Caenorhabditis elegans: one gene and its partners. The protein of the gene in region 1 interacts with the protein of each later gene in a pairwise test. Each region holds a gene or a part of one and is shown in the gene's direction. Other genes may lie near its edges.

Region 1 (10,317 bases):
TTGCGTCATCATAGGGCGGTTGCCGGAGCACTTGAGAGTCAAGAGGTTTTTGTTGTTGAAAGGGATTATGAGACAATGAGAAATGTATACATATCACACCTTTTTGAGGGGGTTTGTGATGCAATTAGTGGGTTTCAGTGAGAATTTTGAAACAAAAAAATCCGAAAAAAATGCTGAAAATTAATCAAAACGTGCGAAAATTTGTAACTTCTATCGGTAAATTTCCAATTTTTAAAGAAATTCTCAAGAAAAAATCAATTTATTGCTCCGGAAAAGCTGAGAGTAACCTAAAAATTGAGACAATTCAGTTAAAAAACTTCAAAAACGCGCCAATAATTAGGAGATTTTAATCGCAAAACTTGGCCAATTTCAACAATTTCAACAGGAAAAATGACCATTCTGAAGATTTTTTCAGCCAAATTCCCCAGTTTTAGCGGAAAAAATTGAGCTTGACGCCGGATTTTGCAGCTTTGAGCCAGTTTTCAAACGATTTCGTACCCTTCCTCGGCCAAATTCTCTGTATGAATATCGAATTGCCATCTTTCCACGACTTCCTTCGTCTTCACCTCGGAAATCACCATCACCAACCGTTTCAGCTGTCTTTTCGCGAGCCAATCTGCAAACTTCAGATGATTTTAACGCTGAAATTCGAATTTCCCCCGCCGCCGCAAAAAAATTACATTCAACTTGCTGCAAAAGTGGATCCATGAACGCTTGGAGCTTCTTCTCATGAGCCACCCACAGTGTGAGCCCGTACTTCTTCTCACGCTTGAAACTGTCTGATGGATAAAGCGCACGTTGATAGAGAATGCTGTTAAGGCCGAAATCTGAAATAAAAAACGATAAAATCGCGAATTTTTGCAGGGGAAAACCGTACGGAAGAACTCTTTGACGAGTTGGGCAGATCCTTTGAGGGAAATCGCGTTTTGTGTCTTTACATCCGTCATTTCTGATGAATTCCCTGCAAAATAACGATAAAAACTGATTAAAAATCGAAGAAAAATGACCGAAAACGCGCCGCAAACAGTTTAAGATTCGAATTCTCCCGCCGAAACAATTGCACGAGAAACGCGCCAATAAACATCACGAAACGCGCCAGCAAGCGTCCAAGGCACATATCGATTTTTCTCGCGACTCGGAAAAGAAATTAATTAAAAATCTCGAAAATCATCGATTTTCATTGTTTCTTTCAGTTTTTTCATTGATTTTTTGGTAAAATAATTGATAAATAAGTTTTTTTTTTCAGAAATGAACCGCTTGATGGTTATTTCGGCTCGTCGGATGGCGTCGGCGGCTCCAAAAACGAGCACCGGAATCGAGCACGCAGAGAAGGCCAGACAGGTCGCTGGTATGGCTTTCTGAAACTCTAAACTAGATAATAATCCGTCATAATATTGTATTGAAAAAGTTTAAGCCAAAAAATTCCTTAAAAATAGCTGAAAAAGTTGAATTTTTGCGGAAATGGCACGAAAATTCGATGTTTCCCGTAAAATCACTGAAATATTTGATTTTTTGCATTAGAACTTGTGAATAGCTAAATTTTTAGTTACAATTTCATTGAAAAAAGCTAGTTTCTGCAAAAAATGTCGATTTTTCGCCATTTTTCTTGTTAAAATCGATTTTAGCCGAAAATATTCTGATTAAACATTAAAAATGAGCAGAATATCGATTTTTGTCAGAAAAAAAAACTATGAAAAGTCTAATTTTCTGGAAAAATGTGCATTTTTCTAGAAAAAAAATCGAATTTCAGACAAGTTTTTCCCAATTTCCATCCAATTTCCACGCAAAATCTCTCAATTTTCAGGCGGAAAACCCGATTGGTCACTGTACAAATGCGACGAATACCTGAAATTCGACAAATACTCGTACGCTCACGCCGAAATCACCATGAACAAGGATCGTGTCGTTCAGCCGTCCTACAAGAAGGCCGACGTTCTTCCGAAAGTTCGAGCTTAATCTTTTTTCGACATTTTCTGTGTGAAAAATAGAGTTTTCGGTGGATTTTATCATTTTTTTTGTGTAGATTTTTCGTATAAATATGAGTTTTTACATAGATTTTTTAATTTTATTGATTTCATGGCTGTTTCCATGCTTAATTATCTAGTAACAAGTCGTTGAAAAACGAAAAAAACACAACGATGCTCCGATGTTCCGCACGTGCATGTTGTTTATCATTGCTCAAAAAATGGCGGTTTTTCGAATTTTTTTTGTGAATTTTTGCTGTTTTTCCGCCTAAAAAAATAAATTTTAACACAATAATAAGCCGAAGCACAATTTTTCTTTAATGCCTGCTCGTTCCCACGGTGATTGCCGCCACAAGGGATTACCTAGCAGCGAGTTTCCATGGTGATGGGCGTCGCTAGCTTTTGTTCAGAGAAGCAGATGTCATATTCATTGAATTTTTAATTTTTTCAATCAAAATCGCATTATTTTCGAGAGATTCGAGGGAAAAATCGAAAAAATTGCAAAATTTTGATCGAAATTGTTGATTTTCATTATTTTTCGCAATTACTTCAATGAAAAATCACTTCAAAATGACCAAAAATGGTGTTTCGATGCAAATAATAAGGGTTTTTTTTTCAGAATAAGCTAGTGAAAAAAAAAAAATCGAATTTTCACTATTTTTCTCCTCGTTTCTTTGATTCTGCCATAAATACGATTGGAGAGAGTAAAATCTGAAATTTTTCCGAAAACCAGTTAAAATTCTGTTATTTTTCAACAAAAACCGTAAAAAAAATCATTAAAAACCTCGGAAAAAAAGTAATTTTTCGCTTTTTTTAAAACAATTTTTAACGATGCTCCGAAATCCCGCATGCGCGTGCTGTTTAGCATCACAAAAATTCGCGATTTTTTGAATTGTTCGATCCTGAAATTGCATTTTTTCTCGTAAATAATTAATTTTTCATGATTTTCAGGCAATTCCATGTCTGAAGAACTACATTCCGACCTGATTGCGTCGATTTTCGGCGGGAAGCCTGCCAAAATCGAGGAATTCTTCTCGAAATGGAATTTCGCGAACGCCGCTGTCTCAAAATTCGATATGGCGAACTCGGCAAAGAATGTGAGAGATTTTAATTAATTAGTTTTTGCAATAAATTTCCAGTTTTCAGGAGCTCGGAGACCGGATTTGTGAGGTTATAGAAAACGGAGAGCTGACCCACGTGCTGCTGGAGACGATAAAGATTTTGAGTAGGGAAAAAGATGGATTGGAGGTAGGGAAATACTACGCAATTTTGAACTGAAAATTCGGATTTTTCAGCTAAAAAACTAAAAAACCCCAATTTTCCCAATTTCCAGGGCCTCCTGAACGACCCGCTCTGCGATAAAATCCTCGCCTTCGCGGAACTCTCGTCAAACGAAAATAACTCGAAAACTGTCCACAGTAAGGCAATTTTGAGCCTAAAAATTCTCGAATTTCCCGCCAAAAATCATAATTTCAGCACTAATGGAGGCGCAAAAATGTCTAATCAACACTTTGTTTCACTCACAACGAATGAGAGATCGATTTTAGTGAGTTTTCAATTGAAAAATCGATTTTAAAGTGATTTTTTGCATAGGAAAGTGTAAAAAATCCTTTAAAAGTGGAAAAAAAGGTTATTTTCCGAAAAAAAAATTAGAAAAAAATCTATAAAATCTGATTTTTAATTGAATTTCTAAGAAAATTAGCTAAAAATTAGAAAAAAAACACGATTTTTGCAGTGCAAACCCGAAAACTGGTGAAAATTTGCAATTTTTCCTCGGAGAATTCGAGGAAAACCGCCGAAAAACGTCGTCAATCGATTGGATTCGCCTTCTGAATCCGGTTCAAGCCGCCGAAATTTGGTATTTCTATCATCGGATCGCTTTTATTGCAACTGCATTGGGCAGGGAATTTCAGGTGCTCGAAACGACACGAAAAATTTGAATTTTTTGACACAAAAATGACCCGAATTTTGGAGAAAACTCGTGTAAAATCGGCAGAAAAATCGAGCGTTTTTTACTGGAAATACACATATTTTTCGAGTTTTGAGCGATGCCACGCGTTGCGGTTGCGTCGCGGTTCAATAAATTCAGATTTCTCAGAAAAAATTTGAATTTTCTGCCTGAAAAAACCGATTTTTGTGTGATTTTTATCGGCAAATTTAGTTTTTAAAAACTGTGGACCGCGCGTTGCGGTCGCGTCGCGGTTCGAAATTTTTTTTATTATTTCAGATTTTTTTTTACAAAAAATTTTGGAAAACATAAAAATTATAGGTTTTTAATCAATTTTTACAAAAAATAAATTTTTTTATTTCAATTTTTATGAGAAAATCTGCGAATATTCATGAAAATTTTTAGTTTTTTTGTGAAAAACTAATTTTTTTTTTGCAGAAAAACTGGGCCAACGACCCAAAAACCATTGATTCTCTGCTTTTGGCCGTCGAAATTTGCACAAATCGATCAGAAAACAGCACTCAGGATATAAATCGAGCTACCGAGGCGTTGAAGACGTTTTTCAACGTTTTTTGCCATTTTCACGGAGATGTGAAGGCTATTGATCATGTAAAAATTCAAAAAAAAAAAAAAAACTGAAATACCAAAATTTATACCTTAAAAATGCGATTTTTTGAATTTTTTAAAACTTTTTTTTTTTAAACTACAAAAATTCGAGTTTTTAACTTGAAATTCCAAATTAAAAAAAAAAATTCATATAAAAACTTCCAATTTTCGTACGATTAATCGGTGAAATTTTCCGGTTTTTCAGGAATTTTCATTGAAAAATATCAAAAATCCAAAAATGACGATTTTCTATAGAAATCGTCATAAAAAATGCAATTTTTTGAGATTTTTGAGGTTTTTTTAGATTAAAAAAAAGATAAAAATCATCGATTTTCGTTTTATTTTCATTTTTTTTAAATCATGAAATATCACTCTATTTTTATTTTCCAAAAAAACAAATTAATTTAATATATAATTATATATCATATTTTTTTTGAATTGAGCAGAAAAATTCTGAGAAACTTCCTGAAATTGGCCCAAAAAATAAAAAATAAATTAAAAATTTGCGAAAAAAAAATTTCTTTTTTTTTCGCTTTTTTCGCATTTTTTCTGAATTTTCGTTTTTTTTCAGCTTTAAATTCTCGTGAAAATTCTTCTAAATTGCGGTAAATTTTGTAAAATTATCTAGGAATGTCAGAATTTTTTAAAATTTTTTTAAAGCACATTTCTGAAAAAATTCATTTATTTTTCAAATTTTTAACCCCAAAAGTATCAAAAATTCCATAAAAAATGTCAAAGTTTTGCTACAAATTACGACGAAAAAAAGTTTTTTTTTTCAGAAAAACGCGGCAAAAACGTGCCAAATCCTTCGTGACGCAATTTGCTCCGATGTGCTCACCGATGACGTCGTTCAATCTGCAATTCATTGCTTATCAGTTCCACCACTACCAATGGTCCTCTCAGTACTTTGTGGAAAAAATTCAAAAAATAACGGAGGAGAAAACGAGGAGGAGAAATTCTTTGTTGAGGAACTTAGCAATATGCAGCTCACCGAGGCAATTCTCATGCATTTGGATAAGCAACTAACAAAAGTCGTTGCTCTACTGCTCAATGATGCTCCAAATCAGCAGCAGAATCCAATGTTGTCGGCAGAAGCTTCAACACTTACAGATCTTGTTGGACCATATTTTCAAGTTCTCGCTAGGCTTTGTACGGATAGTAAATATGTTCGCAGATATTGTAGAATTCGGGTTCGTGAAAAAAAAAACACTTGATAGGGAAATTTTGAAAATTTCACTGCAACTTTTTCCTCACGAGGGACGAGGAAAAGTGGTTTCTAGGCCATGGCCGAGGGGCCGACAAGTTTCAGCGGCCATTTATCTTGCTTTGTTTTCCGCCTGTTTTCTTTCGTTTTTCACTGATTTTTTTCGTTTTTTTCTTAAGAAAACTGATAAATAAATATTTTTTGCAGATGCTAAAACAATTTCCAAGTAAAAAAATTATGTATTCAGTGGGCAAGTAGCGGATGTGCGAAAATCTCGACTTTTTCACCAAAAAAGTTGAATTTTGGAAACCTCAAAACTTTTTCAGCGGTCTCGTTATGAAAATCAGGTAGTCTCAGCATTTAAGCAGCATATGTATTATGTTTCAGAAAAAGTTTAGGTTTTGTATTCCCGTAATCCATCATATTACAATGCCCACTTTCACCGCTGCTTGCCCACTGAATACATAAATTTTTTCACTTGGAAATTGTTTTAGCATCTGCAAAAAATATTTATTTTCAGTTTTAATAAGAAAAAACGGGAAAAAGCTGTGAAAAACAAAAGAAAACAGGCGGAAAACAAAGCAAGATAAATGGCCGCTGAAACTTGTCGGCCCCTCGGCCATGGCCTAGAAACCACTTTTCCTCGTCCCTCGTGAGGAAAAAGTTGCAGTGTTGATAGGGAAATTTTGAAAATTTGAAAAAAATTCAAGACATTTTATAAAAAATTTAAAAAAAAATCTTCCGCCTCTATGAAAAAAAAATGATCTGATTTAAAAAAACATTTTTCACAAAATACATCAGTAAAATTATTAAAGATGGGGTACCGAAATCCGGGAAATATTTTTAATTGACTCCAAATTTTTCCCTGATTCCGAATTTCGATGTGAAAAAATTCAAAAAAAATTCCCTGATTTTCTATTTGGGCTTCAAATCGCGCATTTCATTTGTGCACCCATGAACTTTTTTCAAATTCGCGCCGAAAAAAATTATCCCCGGAGCGCGTTTTGAAATTAATTGAGACAAACGCGCTCCAAGGATAATTTATTTCGGCGCGAATTTGAAAAAAGTTCATGGGTGCACAAATGAACTGCGCGATTTTAGGCTCTAATATAAAATCAAGGAAATTTTTTTGAATTTTTTCACTTAGATATTCGGAATCAGAGAGCAAATTTGGAGTCAATTAAAAAGGTATATAGAAAAATTTATTCATGTTCTGATTAAAAAATTTTTTTTTCACAAAATACACTAGTAAAATTATTAAAAAATTATATGAAAATGTCGTTTTTGAAAGCTTCAAAAAAAAATTCAAAATTTTCGAATTTTTGCAGGTAATTCCCCCACTGGTATCAGAAGAAGTGCAAAAACGGCCGGAGGAGAACAATACACTACGTGGCCGAATCGCTAGAATTATGATGCTTCCGTCGTCAACGAAAGATGTCGCCGCCGAGTTCCTTTTCATTATTTGCAAGAGATCAGGTACGAAATTAACTTAATTCAAAGTTTTTTTTTTAAGTTAGAGTACAGAAATCTGGAAAAAATTTCGAATGACTTCAAATATTCCCCTGATTCCAATAATATCTATGTGAAAAATTCAGAAAAAAAATCCCTGCGAATTTTGTGGCGCCAAAGACGCCTTGTGTGTCGATTTACGAGAATTGTGTATATTTACGAAATGTTTAATCTTTATCAGATGCTGACTTCCCCCTTTTTTCTACGAGTTTCCCTGATTTTCGGCTATTTTTAAGGTCTATTAAGGTATAAAAAAATTTGCAAAATGTTCGGTTTTCAGTCGGAAAAAGCTTCAATTTGGATGGATTTTCCGTCAAGGAGTGCAACCTAAGCAAATATTTCGTAAATATACACAAATCTCGTAAATCGACACAAGGCGTCTCTGGCGCCACAAAATTCGTGATTTCAATCAAGCTTGAAATATAAAATCAGGGAAATTTTTTTTTTGAATTTTTTCACAAAGATATTCGGAATCAATGTTGTGGCACCCGGAGGCGGCGACCGAGCCTTTAAGCCGTAACGAAGAGTGACTCGAGACCGAAGAAAGAGTATGTATAGTCTGGAAGGAGCGCTGTGGCAGTGCGGATGAATGCGGTGGTCTTGCTCCCGAGGAGACTTGAATATAGAGCTAGTGACAGAACAAATGTATAAATATATTAATTTATATAGTAATTATAAGAATTACAATACAAGAGGGAGAGAGGATAAAGTAGGGGGAAGGCCTGGAAACTCCTTGGTTATTGGAGTTTGTCGGGTTCTCTTTGGTTATCAGAGATTGTCGGGTTCTCCTTGGATATCGGAGCAAGTACATGAATAATAGTGAGGGGCAATTACAAAGGAAAATGGGGGATGCGTCGGGAGAGAAGTGCCACGCACGACCGTTCGGCACGAGCGCAGCATCAAGACTGAAGTGGTGGCGTCCAATGGCTGCGTATCCTGTCGTCGCTTGAGTCGTCGCGCAGCTAATGTCGCTGTGGGGCGCGAGTGTGACTCTTGTGAGAGAGCGTATGAGAGCGAGAGACGCAGAAGAAAGAATGACTTCTGCGGCTCTTTGTCATAGAAACCTCGTCTGAGAGATCTCTGAAGAGATCGTAGGACGAGACATTGTGGAATGGCTCCCCATTCCACAACAATCAAGGGAAAATTTTGAGCCAATTCAAAATATTTCCCAGATTTCGGTACTCCGCCTTCAAAAACGTCAGTTTTGGAAAATTTGTGAGGGTTTATCTTTAAAAAATTCCCTTTTTCCAGTGAATCGAATGATCAAATACCTTGGATTCGGCCACTCGGCCGGTCACCTCGCAAATTTGGGTCTTCTCGGACAAATCAATCAACCAAAACACGCGTCGGACAGTGAGGATAGTGAAACTGAGGATTATAATCAGATTAAGGATAGGTATGCTATACTTTTTGTGCATAAAATCCATGGAAAAAAAGAGATTTTCAGTGTAAATCCAGTGACCGGAGCAATTTATCCATCGGATCACGGAAGTGCACTTGCCGGAATGTCTGAAGAGCAAAAAGAGTATGAAGCGATGAAGCTGGTTGATGCTATGAATCAAATGATGGAAACTGGTGAGAAATTCGGAGAAAATTGCGCGAAAATTTGATGAAATTTGACATAAAATTCAGGTTTTTTGCAGCAGAAAAATCTGGAAAACAATTGGTGAAATCCCCCCAAAAAAATATAAAAAATTGCACGAAATTTGATGAAATTCATCAAAATCGTGACGATATTTTGCAGAAAATTCTAATTTTTTGGTGTAAAATTGGAAAAATATCGAATAAACATATGAAAAAAAACTCGAAAATTGGTAAAATTCGAAAATAACCTCGAAAAATGAATATTCTTATTTTCTGAGAAAATCTCAAAAATTGGCGGAAAAATTCATAATTTGGAGCATTTTTCAAGTAAAAATTGAGAAAAAAAAATTTTACCTTAAAAATTCCGAAAAATACCGAAAATTTTATGATTTTTTAGCTTAAAAAGTTTGAAAAAATATCCAAAAATTTGGAAATTTATCGTAATTTATCAAAAATTCTCCCCGAAATTCTCTAATTTCCCCATTCATTTTTTTTTTTGCAGGAATTGTGAAGCCCGGAACCATTGGAGATGACGGAAAAATTCGCGAAGTCAGCCATGTGTTGGAGCTCCTGAAGAATGCTCCAGAACCAGCGCCGGCTGAGAATTCGGATTCTGATGAAGAATAATTATTTTTGATTTTTCCATTTTAACATTTTGAAAAAAATTCTTTTTAAAAAACCTTTAAAAATTTGAAAATAGCGAATTTTTTTTTCTATTTTTATCTTATAACACACTACAAAATATTGTTCAAATTTTCCCTCACAGAAATTTTCAAAAAATTTCTCAAAAAGTGCCTAAAATCCTGAAATTTCCCCCTTTTTGTCTAAAAATTCACTAAAATCTTATGAATTTTCCACACAAAAAAAAGTGGAATTTTTGTATCAATTTTACCATCTGAATTTGAGAAATTACATTCAAAAATACACAAAAACAATTTCCAAATTTTCCACATTTTTCGTTGAAAACATTTTTTACCCAAAAATCCCTCAAATTTTGAATTATTCAAAAGTTTTTCCTGACAAAATCCCCATTTTTATTGTATTTTCCCCCCTCAAAACCCCCAAAAATGGTCTAAAAATCACAATTTTCAATGTGTATATTCCCCTTTATTTCAGATCTCTCAACGCAAAATATGCCAATTTCCAAAGCTTTACCCCTTTTTTTAGTCAACTTACAGAAGTTCTCAATCTATTTTTCTTGTGAATTTTAATAAATTTTGATATTTATAAAGTTTGAAATATTAATTCACAAAAATATCTGCGAAAATGGCGAAAAAGTTCGATTCCCAAAAAATCGAAAATTTCCAAAATTTGCGAAAAATCAATAATTCCCGAAATTTCCAAAAATCAATAATTCCTGAAATTATACATATTTTCCTGCAAACATCAAAAAATGAAAATGCCCGAATTTTTCAAGAAAAGTCGATTTTCAACAATGCTATCCAAAAATCGATAATTCATAATTTTTCCGGAGAACTAAAAAATCGATAAAACCAGTTATA
Region 2 (6,312 bases), on another chromosome or scaffold:
TAACCTGTCCAGAAAATTCAAGTTTTCCACAATTTTGAACAATATTTCAATTGGCAACTCGGATAGCGATGCTGTTTTTGGTTCCCGGCTGAATTTCTTTCTAATAAATTACATTTTAGAACTTATCTTTACACTTACCTCATATCATAATCCAAATCCTCGTTTCCATGATAAAATCGATAAAACCAGCGCTCAAATTCTCGATATTCCATAAAATCATTTCCAAACGCATTGCAAAAATTCTTGAAAGACTCGAAAATTGGCCGCTTTTGGCGGACCTCGTAGAGAATGCAAGCTCGAATAGCAATTGGGTTGGTTTCCAGGATGGCAGGCATTTTACTGGACCTTTTTAACTTTAAAAACTCTAGAATTGGACGGAAAATCAATGAAAATGCGGGAAAATGGAAAGAGGGGAAGCAGTGGAGATGGAAAAGAGAAATAGACAAGAGAGATGAAAAATATGAGAGGGGAGAGACAGCAGCACAGAACAAGTGAGAAATTGGAAGTAGAATGATAAGAGTCGCATCGACCGGTAGAATACCGTATTCTTTTCATTAAATTGGGGACAAACTTTAAAAAAATTAAATGTTTGGTCGTTTTGCACCATAAGAGCAACAAAATGCTACCACCATTAAAAAAATTTTATAGTAGTTATGTTCATCTAGCAAAAAAGTGTCCTACCTAAAAAAAATAGCAGATTTTTTGTTCTTTTAGAAAAATGTATGGCCGTCTCTGTAGCTACGATATTCATTTCAAAAAACCCAAAAAAGTATTTTTTTCAAAATGCTACCATTTTTAATATTTTTGGAAATTCTTGCACATTGGTTATTATCATGTAGCAAAAAAGTGTCTTACCTAAAAAAATAGCAGATTTTTTCATCTTTTAGACAAATGTATGACCGTCTCTGTTTCTACGATATACATTTCAAAAGCCCCAAAAAAGTATTTTTTTTCAAAATGCTACCATTTTAAATATTTTTGGAAATTCTTGCACATTGGTTATAATCATATTGAGCAAAAAAGTGCCCTACCTAGAAAAATAGCATTATAGCAACAAAAAAAAGCTGAATTTCGTTATATAATTAAAAAAGAGCTCAAAATTTGAAACAAGTTTCTGTAAAAACATTCTGAAAAATGTTAATTTTGAGTGAAATATGAAGGCCCGGATTTAGTGAAATGTTTCAAAAATAATAATTTATCTGTACTGAAAACCAAAAATGAAAATTGTGTCCTTTTGGTAGAATTGAACTCATCTCATCAAAAATCACAACAGTAATAAGTCCCATACTAATTTTAAAGTTTGACATTCATTTTTGTGAAAATCTTGAAATTTTTAACTATGAGCTATTGAAATATTCCTTTTATTCCCGACAAAACCCTCCGTTTTGTTCCAATATTTGCCCATTATTTATTCATACACCCGTTTTGCACCCATTTTTGTGTATTCCGCTCGCGTCTTTTGTTTTTCTCTCTATCTCTCTCTCTCTCTCTAAATGTGTCACATTTTTGTGTGTTGCCCATCTTCTCCTTCTACGTTCGTTTTTTGTCTCTTGCCGCTCGCTGACCATAAACGCATTTTCTCTCTTCTTTTCGGTGTGTTTTCGGTGTAACTATGCTGAAAATATAATTTATTTTTGAAGTTTTAGCTTCTTAGGACTCAATATCTTTAAATTGGTTTAGAATGTTTTGTGATGACGTTGTCACAACCGAAAAATTTAATTAACAAGAATTATTGTTGTTGGAATTATTTTAACTTTCTAAAAATTCAGTTTTAATTGTTTTTGCCCATAAAACGCTGTTGAAAATTTTTTGCCAAATTAGAAAATTGCCAAAAATTGAAATTCTCCTCTAATTGCCCAACTCCCAAAATAAAACTTATCCCAAATTGGCAACTTGTCAAAATTTATACCTCATGCCAAATTGGCAGATGGCCAAAAATTAAAATTCTCGCCAAATTGGCGAATTGCCAAAAATTCAAATTCTTGCCTAATTGGCAAAGTGCAAAAAAAAGGAAATTCTTATCAACTTGGCACAATGCCAAAAATGGAAAGTCCGTCAATTTGGTAATATGGCAAAAATTCTAGATTCCACCAAATTGGCAGATTGCCAAAAAATGAAAATCCTAGCCAAATTGGCAATTTCAAATAATGAATAATTGCCAATTTGCCAGAAAAAAGAAATTCTTGCCAAAAATTACATTTCCGCCAATCCGGCAAAATGGCGAAAATTAAAATTCTTGACAAATTTGCAGATTGCAAAAAAAAGCTTACCTAATTGCCAAATTGGCACTATGCCAAAAAGGAAATTATTGCCAATTTGCCAAAAACTACATTTTTTGCCAATTTGGTAATATGATCAAAATATAAAACTCTTGCCAAATTGGCAAATTTTTTGGCAATTTGCCAATTTGGCGAGAATTTAAATTTTTTTTGCAATTTGCCAATTTGGCGAGAATTTCCTTTTTTGGCAAATTGGCAAGAATTTCCTTTTTTTTGGCAATTTGCCAATTTGGCGAGAATTTAAAATTTTTTTGCAATTTGCCAATTTGGCGAGAATTTCCTTTTTTGGCAAATTGGCAAGAATTTCCTTTTTTTTGGCAATTTGCCAATTTGGCGAGAATTTAACATTTTTTGCCAATTTGCCAATTTGGAAAAAATTTCCTTTTTTGGCAATTTGTCAGTTTGGCAAGAATTTTCATTTTGGTAAATTGGCAAGAATTTCCTTTTTTTGGCAATAATTTTCATTTTTCCCAATTTGGCATGAATTTTCTATATTTTTTTTGTAGTTTGCAAATTCGGCAAAAATTTCAATATTGACAATTTGCCAGTTTTACATGAACTTAAATTCCTGCCAAGTCGACAAAATGCCAAAAATACAACATTTTTTCCCGTTTTTCAAACTTTCCCCATCTAGATACTTTACTCCCATCTACCCCATTGTGTGTGTGTTCTCTGACGTCGACTGACCATAACTGATAACCGCCATTTTGACCTCAACGACGTTTCCTGTTCTTCGTTTTTTCCTCCTCCACCCCCGGCCAGTCAAAACTTGCTATCTAGCCTCCACCATCAGCAGCATCAGCCCATAAATATCGTGTTGTTCATGCAGTCTTTTTGTGGTGACTCTTCCTAATACCATAATCGATATATTTATATCGACGCTGTAAATCTTTGTTTTCACCTTATCTCGGCAAGATCGATGAATATAGTCATTGTCTACGTGACTTTTACAATCTATAATTGACCTGGAAAGGGGCGGGGTAGCGTCTGAGATTACGTCACTTTGCGTGACATTAGAGGGTATATAAGAACAATTATTTTGCGTTTTTTAAAGATTTTTCTTTTATTTTTTTTTAGTTTAAAACTGTATATTCTCTTTTCAAATTACTATTCCAAAACTATACTCCCAATTTCCAGAATGAGCGCCCCAATCAACAAAGTCCTCATCGCCGACGACATCGAGCAGGAGTGTGTCGACATTCTGAAGCAGAACGGAATCGAGGTGACCGTGAAGACGAAGCAGACGAAGGACGAGCTTCTCGTCACCTTGCCACAGCACGACGCCGTCATTGTTCGCAGCGCCACGAAGATCACCGCCGAGCTGTTGGCTGCATCAGCTGGGAAGCTGAAGCTTGTTGGAAGAGCCGGGACTGGAGTTGACAATATCGATGTGCCAGCCGCATCGGCGAACAAGATTCTCGTGATGAATACACCACGTGAGTTGGGAGGGTTATTTGACGAATGGGGTTTAGGTTTGAAAGTTCTAAAGTCACATGGCTGGGGAATTCCCCAAACGCACGTGTCTCATTTCGGTTTGATCTACGTAGATCTACAAAAAATGAGGAAGAAGTGACGCAGAGTTCTCAACTGATTTCGCTTTGGGCAAAAAATTCCCGCATTTTTTGTAGATCAAACCGTAATGGGACAGCCTGACACTACGTGTAAACGCATGACTTCAAAAACAGGCCGACCTAGGCGAAGGACGGGCCTATTCTAAAAAATGGATGGCTTTAACAGAATTTTTCAACAGAACTTTACCGGTTTATATTTCAAATTTTATTTTTCCAGAAGCCAACTCCCGTTCTGCCGCCGAGCTCACGTGCACACTCATTCTCTCCCTCTCCCGCCACGTTCCACAAGCCGCCGCATCGATGAAGGCCGGCAAATGGGCCCGCAAGGATTTCATGGGAGAGGAGGTCTACGGACGCACCCTAGCCGTTCTCGGCCTCGGACGAATTGGATCTGAGGTGGCCGTCAGGCTTCAGGCCTTTGGAATGAAGGTTATTGGATTTGATCCAATGGTCACGAAGGAGCAGGCTGAGGCGAAGAACATTGAGCTGCTCTCGTTGGAGCAGATTTGGCCACAGGCCGATTATATTACGGTCCACGTACCGCTGATCAAGCAGACTGAGAATTTGATCAATAAAGAGAGTAAGTTAAGCATTTTTAAAAGTATTTTATTTAATCCAAAATTTATTTATCTAATCATTTTCCAGCCCTCGCGAAATGCAAAAAAGGAGTCCGTATCATCAACGTGGCGCGTGGAGGAATTGTGAACGAGGTCGACCTGGTGGAATCCCTGAACGCTGGACACGCCAAGGGAGCAGCATTCGACGTGTTTGAGCAAGAACCACCAACGTTCAGAGAGCTCATCGATCATCCACTCGTCATTGCGACACCACATCTCGGAGCATCAACGATTGACGCGCAGCTCCGTGTCGCATCGGAAATCGCCGATAACATTGTGCAGTACAATAAGGGAACTATGCTCGGAGTTTTGAACGCACGAGAGGTGCTCAACTAATTTATTTGTGTGTTTATTTGAATTTTCGCCCATATTTTCTGTTTATACGAGATCATTTTACATTTTTACAATACATTTTTTGTGAGTTTAAGTCGTTTTCGCATACAACCATTTTTTTTCAGTTTTATTCATAAAAATACATAAGAAAATCGATAAAAAACCAACAAAAAAAAAATTATCCTCCTCGAGACCACCACCATTCTGAAATAAAAAGAGTCTAGTAAATTTCAGGTGTTACTGGAAAATTACCAAAAAAGTACGGAATCAGATTAGTAGAGGCATGCAATTAGAAGAAGTGAGAACATTGACAGGAGTGATAGGTGTGCGGATGGTGACGTTGTTGCTAGAACATACAAGTTATATTATGCAGACTACAAACTACAAACTATAACTACAAACTATAATTGCAACGTAAGTACTAATGTAAATGCATTGCAAAGCATTATTCAAACATTACGCTAGAATACAACAATTACTACAATTCAACTAGCACATGCTTTTTTGATAGGATATACAGTTATGCTACAAACTACACATACTACAAACTACACTACAAATACTATAAACTACAATCTCGAGGCTACAAACTACAATACCAACTACCAATGCATGGTAGTATTAAAAAAAAAAGTCAAATGCGTAAAACTGCAATTTATATACTACGTACAATGTATATACTATAGTTTGCAAATTTTTAAAGCTAGAAACTACATAATGCATACTATAAACTACAAACTACAAACTAGAACTAAAAGTGATGCAACATTCGTTGCAAGCCCAGTAAAATATACGCATGCATCTCAAAAATATGGTTCACTTACTTCCTGGCGTAGTTGTTGTCACTGTTGGAGCAGCCGGAGCAGCCGTTGATGGTGCTATAACAGTATAAACCACAAACTACAATATATCAACTACAAGCTATAAAATTTCTAATGTATTTCAATGGACGAGTCAATTCATTATTCAAAAATTAAGCTGAAACTGCAATTCAAGTAGCACATATTTATGTGATAGAAGATATACAGCTATGTTACAAACTACACTAAAAATACTACAAACTACAATATAGAAACTACAAACTACAATACCAATTTTATAAACTGAATACATGCATAGTAGTATCTATAAAAGTCGATTGCGTATAATTGATATACTATGATATACTATGTACACACTACAGTTTGCAAATATACAATTTAAAGCTACGAACTACATTATGCATACTATAAACTATAAACTACAAACTACAAACTAGAAACTACAAGTGATGCAACATTCGTTGCAAGACCAGTAAAATATACGCATGCATCTCAAAAATATGGTTCACTTACTTCCTGGCGTAGTTGTTGTCACTGTTGGAGCAGCCGGAGCAACCGTTGTATTACTCGGATAGTCGATCCAATCGGCGATGAACAAGTTCAACTCATACATCGTACCATTTCTACTCGACCCCCAAACCAGCTTCTTCCCGTCGTAACTCTGCATGGCGAACGAGTTGAATTGATTCTG
Region 3 (5,542 bases), about 12 Mb from region 1:
GATTTCCGATGGCTCTCCGTAGAGTCCGGACATGACGTAGACAATAGCTTGTCCAACAGTGATGACCATACCGAACACTGAAAAGTTCAAAAATTAGAGATTGAAAACACACACTTTTCGGCTTACATTTCTGGGCTCCGTTGAAAAGAGCACGGTCCTTTGGTGTGTCTCCGACTTCGATGATCTTGGCTCCGGCGAGAAGTTGCATGATAAGTCCAGAAGTGACGATTGGCGAGATTCCGAGCTCCATAAGAGTACCACGGTTGGAAGCCATAATAACACGAAGCCAGTAGAATGGATCGGCCGAGTCGGTGGACATGATTCCGAAGAGTGGGATTTGGCAACATACGAGGAACACGAAGAGGGTGATGGCCGTCCAGAGCATCTTCTCACGGAACTGGATCTTACGCTCCGGCTTCGACACCTCCGGCACGAAGCCGCAGAATGGCTTCACGAATTCAAGGAATTTAACTGAAAAAAACAATATTAATTAGGATGGCGAACTACAAAAATCGATAATCCTCTCGGGTGCACCACACCTTTGTTTGCCGCCCGCCGGACTGCAAAATTATCGACTCGCACCTGTTTCTCTCCGATTTAGACAAAATTCAAGAAATTCTACATTTAAAAATGAAACAAAATCCGTAGTAAGGCAATGTGAGAAGAATTTTAAAGTTACATTGCAGAAAATGCGGTGTTCTCCTTAAAATTTATGAAAAATAGAGGAAATTCTTCCACGTAGCAAATCGCACACTAGAAAATTCGCAAGAAAAGGGCATTCAGTTTGATTGGAGGAATTTTTAAATTGAGAATTTTCAAATAAAGCAGCTACGCGTTACGATAAATTCTGAATGTCTAGATTACTTTTTAGTTGAAACAAATAAAAAAGAATACTTACTTCCCATGATGGTACGTTGATCTTCTCAGCACACTGGAAGAAGTGAACACAGAGAGACACAAGGAGTGTTGCCTTTCGGATAATATAAATGGAGAGAAGATAGACGGGGGAGAGACAGAATCTGCTGTCGTGGGCACCGCACACGCCGACAGTGCCGATAGTGGACACACGCAAAACGAGTGTTACCGTACCTTCGAACTGGCAGAGCGGGACAGTGTTTTTGCAGTTTTTATTGCTATTTTCAGCGATTTTTGTAAAGTTTTACCACTTTTTCGATGTGAAAAAAATCCCTCTACTCAATTTCAGCAAAAATATTAATTTAATTCACCGAAATCTGTCAGAAATCACGAAAAACTTTAATTCGGACTGCAAGGTCTCGAGACGATTCAAAGGCGCGTGCAGTTTCGCGGCTGGGTTTCGCACCGCTCGTCCTCTCTCCTTTCGTCTCTCTTCGGAATTTATTTCTTTTCCCTAAATTTTTTTGGCTTTTTCCGTTGAAACTTTACCAATTTTCGCGATTTTTCTTCAAAATTTGTTTTTGAAAAATTCAGGATAATTTGTTTTATCGATTTTTAAACATTCAAAGCTTTGTTACTCGACAAATTCGCTGAAAACATGCCGAAACTCGAATTTTAATATTTGAAAATTATCGAATTTACTAGTTTTGTGAATATTGTATCATTTTTTAGGCATTTACAGGTCAATTTTAACTTATTATTCAGCTGAAAGTGCTTAATAATAATGTTTTTTGGTAATTTTTCGTCGCAAATTTTTTATTTTTTTTGAATATCCGCGCTTTTCACTCGTGCATCTCACTAAATTTTTTATTTTTCAGGGTCATAAAATCACGACAAGATGTCGTTGATCATTCCGGAGAAATTCCAGCACATTCATCGTGTGATGAACACCAACATCGATGGTAACCGCAAGGTTCCATACGCCTTGACCGCCATCAAGGTTTGTTTTTTAAATGTTTGATATTTTTAATTTTTATCGTTTTCAGGGAGTTGGTCGTCGTTTCGCCTTCGTCTGCTGCCGCAAAGCTGACGTTGATGTCAACAAGCGCGCCGGAGAGCTCACTGAGGAGGACTTCGACAAGATTGTCACCATCATGCAAAACCCATCTCAATACAAAATCCCAAATTGGTTCCTTAACAGACAAAAGGACATCAAGGACGGAAAGACTGGACAGGTTAGTTGTTTCGTCTAAAAAAAATCACTTAAAATTATACAACTGGAGTGAAAATTAGGCCTGTTTTTTTTTTAAATCTGTATACAGGCCACCCAGTTTAATTATTTTGAGAGTAGCAAATTTTGACTATAATTCTTATAGACATATGTTTTCAGCTCCTCTCCACCGCCGTCGACAACAAGCTCCGTGAGGATCTTGAGCGCATGAAGAAGATCCGTCTCCACAGAGGACTCAGACATTACTGGGGACTTCGCGTCAGAGGACAGCACACCAAGACCACCGGACGCAAGGGACGCACCGTCGGAGTGTCCAAGAAGAAGGGAGGATAAGTCTGATTGTTTACGGGATGTTATGTTATTTTTTGTTGCTAGTATCCCGAAAATAAATGTTACTTTCAAAAATAATTTCTTTATTTGTCAAACAATACAAGTTTTAAACCATTTTCTTGTGTTTTTGGTAGAATTCAAGATCGAGGCAAACATTATTAAAGAAATAACCCAGAGTCAAAATATGCAGAAATGCAAACCCGGCAGTTAATGGGAAAATACTTATATTAATTGAAAATACATCTAATACTCCTTGCACGACCACGTTTTGAGATATCGTCTCGCCAACACCTTCCTGTCCAAGAAAGAAGAAAACTCCGAAAATTCCTGGTGTTACAGTGAGAAGCATGAGTGTTGCCATAATTCTTCTGCAGCAGTGTTCCCCGAGACGTTTCCTGATTCGCTGAACCTTGGGAATTTTCCAAATTTGCCATCCTATCCGCTCTACTATCAATTCGGTTGCTGATAATGTTACCCAAAAGATGAAGTGCCTTCGAGTTCCATGCCAAGCTAGAACAACACCAAAAACTGCACACAGAGCCCCAAGACTTCTCAAAATGGACCAAAATAGAGGCAACGGTTTTCGCATAGCTGGGATATAGACCTGATACTTTAAGAATTGATAGAGTCCATTATCGAAAAATCTCCACATTCTGGAATAAAGCGACACTCTGGAAATGCAGATAGGTGGTGGCGGAGGTCGAAAACCATCCAGAGCCGCGAAAAATGCAGGAACTCCGAAAATGACCACGTATTTCACATGGAATAGTTGGCCAGCCACGTAGGCAATTGCAGAAACTGAAACTTAAAAAAAATTGAGGAAAAAAAAAGGTTTTTCTGAACAAACCTTCATAAGAATTTAGACTATTAACTAGGGAATCTGGTGAATTGAAAAGTGCCTGAACATGTATAAAATGCAAAATCAATTCGATAAATCCAAACCAAAAAACCAGTCGAAAACCAAACCAAAGTGCACATTTCACAGAATTCCAGCAAATTTCAGTTGTCTTTTGCCACGTCTCGAATTGCTGAATAAAATCCTCAAATCGTACAATAAGTGTCATGGAGTAGGGGAGATAGGAGAAATAGATCAGGCTATCTGCCATAATCTTTGAAAAATCTGATTTTCCAGGTTTCAGATCGCATAGAAAAAGGGCCAAATTGAGTATTTTAATAGATCCGTACAGATAAATGTTGAATTCTCGATAGAAAATGTGAGTTCCAGACGAGAATGGGACGATTTGTGTGGCTCGGACGATGAAGACGATGCACAGGAGCCACGGAGTCCATTTGGAGCCGCCTGTGAGCCACGTGGCAACGATGACGAGCACCGAGAATGAGTAGAGGACGAAAATGCATTGGAAACTGGAAATTTTTGGGGAATTTGAATGAATTTTCAGAGATTTTTAGAATATAAACCTGCTCATGTGAATTTGGAGCAAGAAACCGATGGCGATAAAGGCATAATTTGAGATCGTGGAACATGGAAGAAATCGTTTTGAGATGAATATTCTGGAATTTGAAGCTTTTTAAAGGCGCACGGCATTATTCAGATGGGTCTCGGCGCGCAAGTAGGTTTATAGTAGATTTTTCCACTAAAATGGCTTTAAATCAGTTTTCTATCATTTTTGCCGGCCGATAAGCGGGAAAGTCGACATTTTTGAAGAAAAATGAAAAAAAACTACAAAAATCGATAAAAACTACCATAAACTTTTTTGTGCGCGCCGAGACCCACCTGAGTAAATCTGTATCGTTACTGTAGCTCGTGTCGAGCCGCTTTTGCATAGAAATAGAGAAAACAGTCGTGGCGAGACCCAAGATATGGCAAAATGTCTCATTTTTCCACGTTTCTATAATATTCTTCGTTCAAACAAACCCTAAGCTATGGGCCGAATAATCGAGAAGAAGATGCCACACGGTTTGCCGATAATAAGCCCATTCCGCATCGGATAAATCCATTTTTGCACCGGAGACATAGCTGAAATTGCAAATTTAAATTGTTTTTAAAACGGTGGCCGAGTTTTCGCTAGGCCACAGTGCCAAAATGGTCTCGACACGATCGAAACTTTCCAGCTACCGTACCTGTGGGTACTGTAGTTTTTTCATTAATTTTCCCAGTTTTCGAAGCACAAACTAGATAAAAATTGGAATTGTAGAAAAAAACAACAAAAAAGAGTCCGATTTTCGATTTTTTTTTTCTCGAAATTTCGTAAAAAATCGAAATTTTCGAACATTTTTTCGGTCATTTCTCAATTTTTCCCGAAACTTTACATTTTATCTCGATATTTTTTGAATTAAAAATTGTTAATTAGCGATTTTTCCTGAAAAAACAGATAAATTGAAATTTTCGACGACGAAACCCAGGGGTACTGTAGCTGCAAAAACTTTCTCTCGTGCCAGGACCCTTTTTTGCCAAAAACTGCAGGTTTTTATATGAATTTTCATAGATTTCGTTATGTTTTCACCGAGTCAATATTCCATAAACTTTTCCAAATTATATATCTTTTTCCAAGAAACTGTAATTTTTTTTCAAAACTTTTTTCAAAAACCCACCAACTATCCTGCATCCAATGTTTAATCCATCCCTTTGCTTTTCCATTCGAGACCCAATATGCTATTACAAATGCAAAAAGCGAGTGAAATATCCAGACAGACCACGCTAAAGCCCTTTCAGCTTTGGGTAGTGGACCAGGAATTGAAGGAGACGGGGAAGAGACGGTCATTTCGTATTGTAAAGTGGTGATAGGGGCATTCTGAATAGGGAATATTTATATATTTGTATGGTTATGGGTGTTTGGAAGAAAATATGAAAGGAATAGGCTTATTTGTTAAGGCCAGAAGCGTAGACGGAGGCTTAGTACTGCTGTGGAGAAATTTTGAAAAAAAAACTCAAAGAAAAAATTTACCGTTTCAAAAAATTCATATTTTTTCTTCATAAAAATTAAAATTAATTCTGATCTTTTTTTTTTTAGGATGCTTTAAAAATATTTGAATTTTGATACAGAAAAATTCCGAAAAAATACTGTTTCAACTTGTTTCTTTAACTACATTCAATTTTATTCATTAGTTTCGCACTTGTTCTCTGTCAAATTAAATTTTTGAATTATCTCATGTATACAAGAGCTC
Region 4 (7,781 bases), on another chromosome or scaffold:
AAAACACACTTAAACCTATTTATTTTTAGCTCAATTATGACATATGACAAATATGACATATAAAATATGACATACATAATAAAAAAATTTGTCTAAAAACAGACATAATTCTGCCTCTCGTCAAAACTTTAATTTTAACTTACACTAATTTACAGCCTTCTAGCAACGGCAAGCACGCTAGGCAGGCATCTTTCTTTTCTTCAAATGAGCAACTGAAATGTAAAACCTTATAAATTTAAGTTAAGATTTCTTTTCGTACCTAGTTAATTTTTCACAAACAATAATATTAACGGTTTGCATTTCAGAAAGTGAATATTCGATACCATCTTCTGCGGTGTATTGTTCTATTGTTTGAAAAGCATCGTCAAGTGTTCCTGCTTCTGCTTGTGCTCTAGCTTTGTTGAAGGCTTCTGTTCGTTCCATTTTCTTCTGAAATTTAGATATTAATAGTATTAAATCTGCTGATTATCGTGTAAAAAACGAAAAAAAAAAACACAAATATCTGAAACTGCTCGTCCAAGATTTGAAAATCTGACAAGAATCATGCAAACGTCATTCGAAAAGAGTAAAAAGTTTCAGATGAGTGAGATGGGATACTCACAAAACACATCTGTTCTATTGAGGGGTTGCCTCGGGAATGACACCAGTGTAATAATCGTCTTCCATGCTTGTGGGCGGAAAGTTGTGTAAGAAAACAGAAATCTTCTGCCCGGGGAGCAAGATATCACGGATAAATCTTAATAAATTGGCATTGACACCCCACCCGACAGGGGTTTTTGTTGATTGAGAATTTGTAAATTTGTGAAATGAAGATGCACACATGTCATAAACGCAGAAAAAATGGTTCGAAATTTAATAAAAATTGCATTGGTCAGTTGAAGTAACCAAATCGGAAACCTGATCTAGAGAGTCATAGCTCAAGGATTGTGATTACTTTCTTTTCTGTCAGTAAACAAAACTGAGAAGACTACTAACAAATCAGCGGACGGGATTAACACTGATTGACTTGAGTAAAACAATATATAACTTCGATCATCTAGCGAAGACGGATGTACTATACGTTAAATTATGTACAGAGCTAGCGCAAATCCGCTTTACCAATCAGACAGGATCTACTATTGTTGGAGCCGTTCAACTATACTTTACGTAAAGAAGTTCTCAGGGGCACTACGTATACATTAAGGAAGCTATTCTCATTTTTGCAAGTTTGATTGAATAATGATTCCTAACATCACAAACATCACAAAGTTGCCCACCAAAACCAGGTGGACATTTGCAGTTGTTACAGTCATTTGGGTTGATGTAGCCATCATTTTGACAATCGAGGTAGTTAGAGCAAGTGGCTGAAAATTTAAACAGGACTCAGTCGGTAGTGGTGGCCGCTAGTAATCTGGAGGTCACGAGTTCAAGCCCGGTCTCACCCCCTAGGTTCACCCAGCCTCTATTGGGAGGTGGAGCAATCCATGACTGGACTATCGGCCACAGTCCCCGGCTAGGACGTGGCTAAAATTATAACTCAGTGGGATCACCAGCAGGCAGTGTATCTGAGTTTCATAGTAAATTCATAGTTCTTTCATAGTACTTTGATAGTAAAATCATAGTATTTAAATCAACTGTATCTTAATATGTTTTTAAGAATTCAAGTGTTGCATAAGTGTTCCAAACATGTTTTATTACAGTTGCTGAGTATGAAACAGTTGAATCACATTCAAGCCCTGGTCTCTCTTGAACTCCGATCTGAAATTTTTCTTTTTTGTTTTAAGCCTTTCGAAACTGGTAAAATTTTTGTTTTTATTTGCAGATTTTAATGACTAAAAATCCTCCATTCTGCCAGTTAGAAAATGTGTTTTTTAAGCTCAAAGTTTTTCGATCGAGTTCGGTTAATATTTTGTTCACAAAAAATTTTGAAAAGATTATAGGATCTTTGTATCTTACTAAACAGGTTAAAAGCCAACAACATTCTGCAAAAAATCACAATTGAATCAGTATTACGAAGCTTGATCTTGGCGCAAAAATGCATTGAAAACAATTTAGACCTGAATAGAAATGAAGTTTGTTCTAATTTTCTTTGTCTTTTGTTCTTTGTATGCCCATTACTTTCAAATTTGCCATTACTTTCAAACTGTGTGACTATATCAAATTGTATATCAATGTAGTTTGTCGTTGTTCATTTTATTTAAAAAAAAACAAAAACATTTATGAGCATACTTTTTATGATTTATTCAATTCAGAAAAAAAGTACGTTCCTCAATGTTTATTGTCTCGTAGTTGTGAAAAAAGTTTTCTTCCGATTTTTAAAATACTTATGAAGATTTAAATCTAAATTAATTGTTTTAAGTTATTTTGCCCGTCTGCTCACAGTTTTTCTCAAGTTCAAAAATGAATTGTATTGTTCCCTCTAAACCCTGAAATGATATCAAAAGACCAATTTTGAACACACAATTTTCCAAAAAAAAAAATTTGAAAATCGGTTTACCGTGGTTGAAAGTATTCAAGATAAAGGAAACAAAATTTGCAAACTGAATGTTATTTTTCATTTAAATACCATATTTTATTGTACTTTCTGGGTATTAGGGTATTTTTCGGTCAAAAGGTACAAAGGTCAAAAAGTGCAGTTACCCACTTTGGATAAATAAGAACCATGTATGAAAATGTATATCTTTTTTTTCCACTACCAAATCTGAAACAGATGTTTTTTCTGAAGCAACAATTTGATTTTCTTTTTCAAAAATAGTTTGTAAACAAATTTGGTAGGACGTGACTAGCACATTCGTCTTTTGAAAGCCGAAAACACTTATTTCTCGCCCACTGCCATTTCCCATAGTGTTCCCCCGAGTTGTGAGAAAAACACTTTAAAGATGTATAGCAAAAACAGCATGAGAAGAGTTAAAAATTTCCGTTTGTCAAACCACCGAAATGTTTAGAATTCATGAATAGTTTTGTGAACCCTTCAATTGTTATCTCTCAATGTCTTCTCCTTCTAGTCCTCCTTTCCATGTTGACATCCGTAAAACTTTGTATAAAAACCCCTTACTTCACTCAACCAGGGTGAATTCAGTCGTTCAGGAATTGAAGGATTGAAAGATTGAAGAAACAAGGAGAAAGGGTAGAAGAAGAAAGAGAAGTAGAGAGTATCTTCAAAATGATCAGAGCTTGAGCCAAGGAGCCGCAGCAGCAGCAGCAACACAATCGTCAGTATTTCTTCTCTCCTGTCAGACAAATGGCACGCCCACACATGCTTTCCTTCTGTTTCCCAATCAACATTCGGAGCAGAAAAAAATGGGGTCCTGCGTGAATGCGCTACGTATTGTAACTTTTTTATTTAACTTTGCGTTCTGGGTGAGTTTTGGTTTTTTTTTCGAAATCTTTTAGGTTGATCTTAAAAACTAAGTTTTTTTTTCAAAACCAACTAAAAATGTTATTGCTCATTTAGTAACCAGAGCTGTACATTTCAAACAGTTAAAACGTTTCATGTAGAATTCAAAATATTTTTGCTAGTTATTAGTTATAGTGTTTTAAGCCTAAAGTGCTATACATAAAAATGTGCTGTAATCAATTTTTCGGGTTTGGCAACAGACTACATATCTAAGCACCAAATTTTGAAAAAAAGGTTTCAAGAAAAACCTACTCTTAAGTTCGTGAAAATATTGCTTTAATTGTATTTAAGGGGCGGGGCAGGGGCAGGATAGCTCAGTCGGTAGTGGTGGCCGCTAGCAATCTGGAGGTCACGAGTTCAAGCTCGGCCTCACCTTCTAGGTTCACCCAATTTCCAGTGAGAAGTGAAGCAATCCATGACTGGGCTATCGGCCACAGTCCCCGGCTAGGACGTGGCTTAAATTATAGCCCAGTGGGATCACCATCAGGCAGCGTACCTGAATTCCAGATCAGCAGTGAATATCACTCGTAAAACGGATCGTCCTGTAATCCTTTAATTAAAACATATTTTTTTGACTTTAGTAGTGTTTTATATTGTTTTATTTTTGTAAATTTTTTTTCGAATCCTTGCAAACCTTCTAAAGCCTAATGTTATTTTTACGAACCTAGAATACATGACAAATTAGTGACATAAAAATGTTTATAGCTGCATTTCCACATCAAACTAGGAGATTTTTTTGATTCAAAAATTGAAAAATTTTTTTAATTTTCCATTTTTTAAGCCATCATTTTAATCATTTTGTTTCGCACTGGCACAATTTCGAGTTAATGGTTTTTTTTTTTCAGTTATCAGGAGTTGTCGTATTCGGTCTTGGAATATGGCTCTTATTCGACCCAGCTGCATCTGACTTCTTTGCTCTTCACTCCACACATCCAGGTTTTTTCCATTTATCTTCTTCACCCTCCCCCCCCCCCCCCTCTAACGTAAATTATCTTTCCAGGTGCCTTCCGGTATGTAGGCTGGTTTCTTGTTGGAGCCGGAGCAATTATCATTCTGGTTGGATACTTTGGATGCATCGGTGCATGGAAAATGAATCAATGTGCACTCGCATTCGTGAGTTGTTCCTATTTTTGCACCCCGTGATGGGGAGGAGGGGGGGGGGGAGGGGGGATGGCATCATCTTATATTTCATTTGTCAGTGAATACCTCATTTATCTCCTCAACATGAGATGCATAAAAACGTGTTGTTTTCTTCAGTTCTGCTGCATATTGATCCTCGCGTTTTTCCTCGAACTCGCAGCTGCTGTCACACTTTTCCACAAACAAGAACACATCAAACACTATGTGGAGAGCAGTATGTACGACACTATCAGAAATCGCTACTCGTCGGAGACGGCTTTCAAAGATGCATTTGACACGGTTCAAGAGAAAGTAAGGTTCATAGTGGACTGAAACGGCTTTTTAGACCAAATAAGTCTCAGCAGGAAAAATTTTAAACTTAAATTGGCGTGGACAAATAGTTTACTAGAATTCCTTCGCTGCATCATTTATTCGAATTAATTCAAATTGTAAACCAATTTTTAAAAAAGTCTACATGAAAAAAGTTAAGCAAACATTTGCATAGAATTTTAAACTTGCGTTGTTTGCCATTTGTTCTGTTTCAATTTTTTTAAAATTCCAACAGACTGCGAATGGTTATTACCACAACTTAGCCTAGTTCAAGCTTATGCAGAAAATTTCAAGTCTTTTGAGATTCACGATGCACCAAAGAAGCTCTCCATATTTTATGTCTAAATAGGAAAATTCAAAACAAAATTTTTTTTTTCCAAACTCAATAATTGAAGCGATAGGCTTAACTTTTTAGTTGTAGATTTTTTCTTTTGTTTTCGTATTTAGCAGACCAGTAAATTTACAATGCTTTTTTTAAAACCATAAACTTCATTTTTGCAATTCCAAAATCCTTCTCTCATTTCAGTTCGAATGCTGTGGTGTGAAAACATACACGGACTGGCTTAGCGCAAGATGGGACGCCGAGCCATCCACTCAATTAGAAGTGAACGAAGAAGATGCTGGCAGAATTGAGCACGGAATTGGCGCGTTCGGCGGGAACAAAGGCACTGGATATGGTGAGTTGAAAGAGGGGAATGTGACGTGGTAATAAACGCAAAAAGCTGAGTAAGATAATCTTAAAAGTTTTCCTACATACAATGATTTCATAGACATTCGAAAAAGTATATAAATTTTGTAGCTAGCTAACTTTACGAAAAAATCACAATATTTCAGGTCGAGTCCCATCATCTTGCTGTAATGAGCATGGAAAGCTTTCCTACCCAAATAACTGTGGAAGATCATTCAGCCAAGCTCCGCTCAACACTTATGCTCAATTTATCAATACACGGGTGAGATTTTCAAAAATATATTGATAAAAACAATGTAAATATTCAGTGATTTATTAATTAGTTTTGTTAATCTAACTTTCAAATAAATACAATCAAGTTCAAAACTTTTACAGGGATGCGCCGATGCCGTGTACGAAAGCGTGAGCAGCTCATTGAGCTTGATAGTAGGAGTTTGTGTGGTTCTTTGCATTGTTCAACTCCTTGGAATTGTGTTATCTATGACCTTATGTTGTTGCAAAGGCAATTCTAAAAAATAAACGCCTTTTTTGTTTATAGATGTTTTTTAATGAATAATAAATGTTTTTCTCTCTGATTTATTGGAATTTGTAAAGATAAATAATCGAATGACAAACAACAATTCTTTCAGATTGGGTAGAGTTGATGAAGAGTGGTTGGATAAATATTTGTGAAACAATTAAAGTCGAATTTGCAATAATTGACTTCTCAGGAAAGGAGTGTAGTGAATGGAGTAGCTTGATCAAAAAATCAATTGAAGGAGTACGAATTATTCAGGTCGATAAGATTGAGATCGGGGAGAGGATTTTTTCGTTTGAAATTAAAATGTTTGTTGTCAAAATATATTAGTGAGTTTTTTGTTTTTTTTTGCATTTTTTACGGTTTTTCAGGGGTCTTATAGCACACACGCGCAGCTTTTTTTTTGAGTTATTAGTCGGGTGTTTTAAATTTTATGATAAACTCAGAAAAGCTTAGGATAATAGGTTTTCTGGCACCCTGCTTCCAAACATCACAATAGTTTTTTTTGTGGAAAATTCTGCGTTTTCCAATACTTTTTGACTAGATGGTTGGAAAATAACCAGAAACGAAAAATGATAAATTCTCAATTAGTGTAAAGCCATTCAAAAATAAAAAAGTTATGAAAAATTTTATAGTTTAAAAAAATCAAAAGAGTTTTCAGCGAATCTGTGTTATTCATTATTTTTGAATTCAAAATAAAAACATTTAACTAAATTTTTTTGCGATTAAGATTAAACTACATTCTGGTTTCTGAGTTTTGCAAAAATCCTCCTTCTATAAATAAAGAAACAATGGCTTTCCAATATATTATTGCAACACAGTGCAAAACTTTTGAAGAGCATAGAGACTATTGGTTTTGCAGTTGAAAATGAGCAAGACTAAATTTCAAATAATTCAAAAGAGCAAAACAACCAAAAAATGCTTCAAAAATACGAAATAATCGCATAATTTAAAAGTTAGAGAAGGTGAATTAAAGTCTGGAAAAATGTTGATAGAAACTGAGTCCCATAAAGCGCTGTATGAGAATTATTAGCGCCGTGATGCAATTTTGACGCCCTGGTGGCAGAATGTAACAAAAACACATCGGTCATTTGCCATGCATCTGTATGTATTTGAATTAAGTCGTTGGCAAAACTTGTTCGATTCCAAAATGTGTAGAGCTGTGTCCCCTTCAAACTTGATTTTGGATTTCCAGTCTTGACTGATGGAGGTTATAGTAGTCTCCATGTAGAGCAACTTCTGAATAGTTAGGTAATTTAATGAGAAACAGATTGAAGCATTTGATGAGATTTTTATTTGAAGACAAAAGGGTGCAACTTCTCAATTTTTTTTCAGTTTTACTGCTTCAAACAAGGTTGCCATAAGATCGCCGCGCCGGCCTCACGGCGTCACTCACGTCGCCTGTATCCAAATGTATAGTGCGACGCGGAACCCCGGCCGCTTCCAAATAACTCTTTTTTGCACTACGTTGCGCACACATCAAGCTTCTCGTTTCACGCCAAGCTGCGGCACCCCGAACGTGTCGGCCGCTCCTAACAAATACCTGTCGCGCTTTATTGCACACACACAGCGGCGCACGGCGTCGGCGTGAGGCCCCCATTTCGCGCCTCGCTCAGCTGGGAGCCCTACTCTAAACATTTTTGGAGTGTTTTTTTTAAAATTATAATGGGTCGTGTTGGTCAGTGCATTTTGACTTAATCCTCACTTATGATATTCACCCCTCATTATCATTACTTATATATAAAAAAATA

Evidence for each region.
Region 2: the proteins of ric-8 (region 1) and phdh-1 interact in a two-hybrid assay, tested with the Caenorhabditis elegans proteins (one large-scale study listed by BioGRID).
Region 3: the proteins of ric-8 (region 1) and rps-18 interact in a two-hybrid assay, tested with the Caenorhabditis elegans proteins (one large-scale study listed by BioGRID).
Region 4: the proteins of ric-8 (region 1) and tsp-8 interact in a two-hybrid assay, tested with the Caenorhabditis elegans proteins (one large-scale study listed by BioGRID).

The regions. Positions count from the first base shown.
Region 1 is NC_003282.8:2,640,064-2,650,380, forward strand, and holds ric-8 (Chaperone ric-8), read left to right. Parts: upstream 1-2,915; 5' UTR 2,916-2,923; coding exon 2,924-3,061; intron 3,062-3,110; coding exon 3,111-3,212; intron 3,213-3,297; coding exon 3,298-3,382; coding exon of another isoform or gene 3,383-3,440; coding exon 3,441-3,510; intron 3,511-3,699; coding exon 3,700-3,877; coding exon of another isoform or gene 3,878-3,904; intron 3,905-4,350; coding exon 4,351-4,521; intron 4,522-5,297; coding exon 5,298-5,708; intron 5,709-7,050; coding exon 7,051-7,198; intron 7,199-8,482; coding exon 8,483-8,627; intron 8,628-8,678; coding exon 8,679-8,806; intron 8,807-9,317; coding exon 9,318-9,442; 3' UTR 9,443-10,048; downstream 10,049-10,317. Other genes in the region: mdf-2 (Mitotic spindle assembly checkpoint protein MAD2A), read right to left, coding at 499-616, 681-827, 878-947; nduv-3 (NADH dehydrogenase [ubiquinone] flavoprotein 3, mitochondrial), read left to right, coding at 1,249-1,348, 1,805-1,956. UniProt on the Caenorhabditis elegans protein: Chaperone that specifically binds and folds some, but not all, nascent G alpha proteins prior to G protein heterotrimer formation, promoting their stability and activity.
Region 2 is NC_003280.10:13,635,585-13,641,896, reverse strand, and holds phdh-1 (D-3-phosphoglycerate dehydrogenase), read left to right. Parts: upstream 1-3,416; 5' UTR 3,417-3,417; coding exon 3,418-3,715; intron 3,716-4,067; coding exon 4,068-4,430; intron 4,431-4,495; coding exon 4,496-4,803; 3' UTR 4,804-4,978; coding exon of another isoform or gene 4,979-5,004; 3' UTR 5,005-5,028; downstream 5,029-6,312. Other genes in the region: fbxa-167 (F-box domain-containing protein), read right to left, coding at 5-88, 139-335; tag-10 (Protein TolB), read right to left, coding at 5,073-5,146, 5,625-5,678, 6,135-6,312.
Region 3 is NC_003282.8:14,823,946-14,829,487, forward strand, and holds rps-18 (Small ribosomal subunit protein uS13), read left to right. Parts: upstream 1-1,733; 5' UTR 1,734-1,753; coding exon 1,754-1,855; intron 1,856-1,901; coding exon 1,902-2,090; intron 2,091-2,245; coding exon 2,246-2,419; 3' UTR 2,420-2,474; downstream 2,475-5,542. Other genes in the region: sec-61.A (Translocon Sec61/SecY plug domain-containing protein), read right to left, coding at 1-77, 127-471, 899-905; hhat-2 (Homolog of Hedgehog AcylTransferase), read right to left, coding at 2,523-3,214, 3,264-3,781, 3,836-3,928, 4,293-4,394, 4,970-5,139.
Region 4 is NC_003284.9:14,724,933-14,732,713, reverse strand, and holds tsp-8 (Tetraspanin), read left to right. Parts: upstream 1-3,210; 5' UTR 3,211-3,279; coding exon 3,280-3,339; intron 3,340-4,221; coding exon 4,222-4,312; intron 4,313-4,376; coding exon 4,377-4,489; intron 4,490-4,633; coding exon 4,634-4,807; intron 4,808-5,351; coding exon 5,352-5,502; intron 5,503-5,659; coding exon 5,660-5,775; intron 5,776-5,888; coding exon 5,889-6,032; 3' UTR 6,033-6,088; downstream 6,089-7,781. Other genes in the region: F33C8.4 (DUF7758 domain-containing protein), read right to left, coding at 144-212, 260-423; F33C8.2 (DUF38 domain-containing protein), read right to left, coding at 7,060-7,269.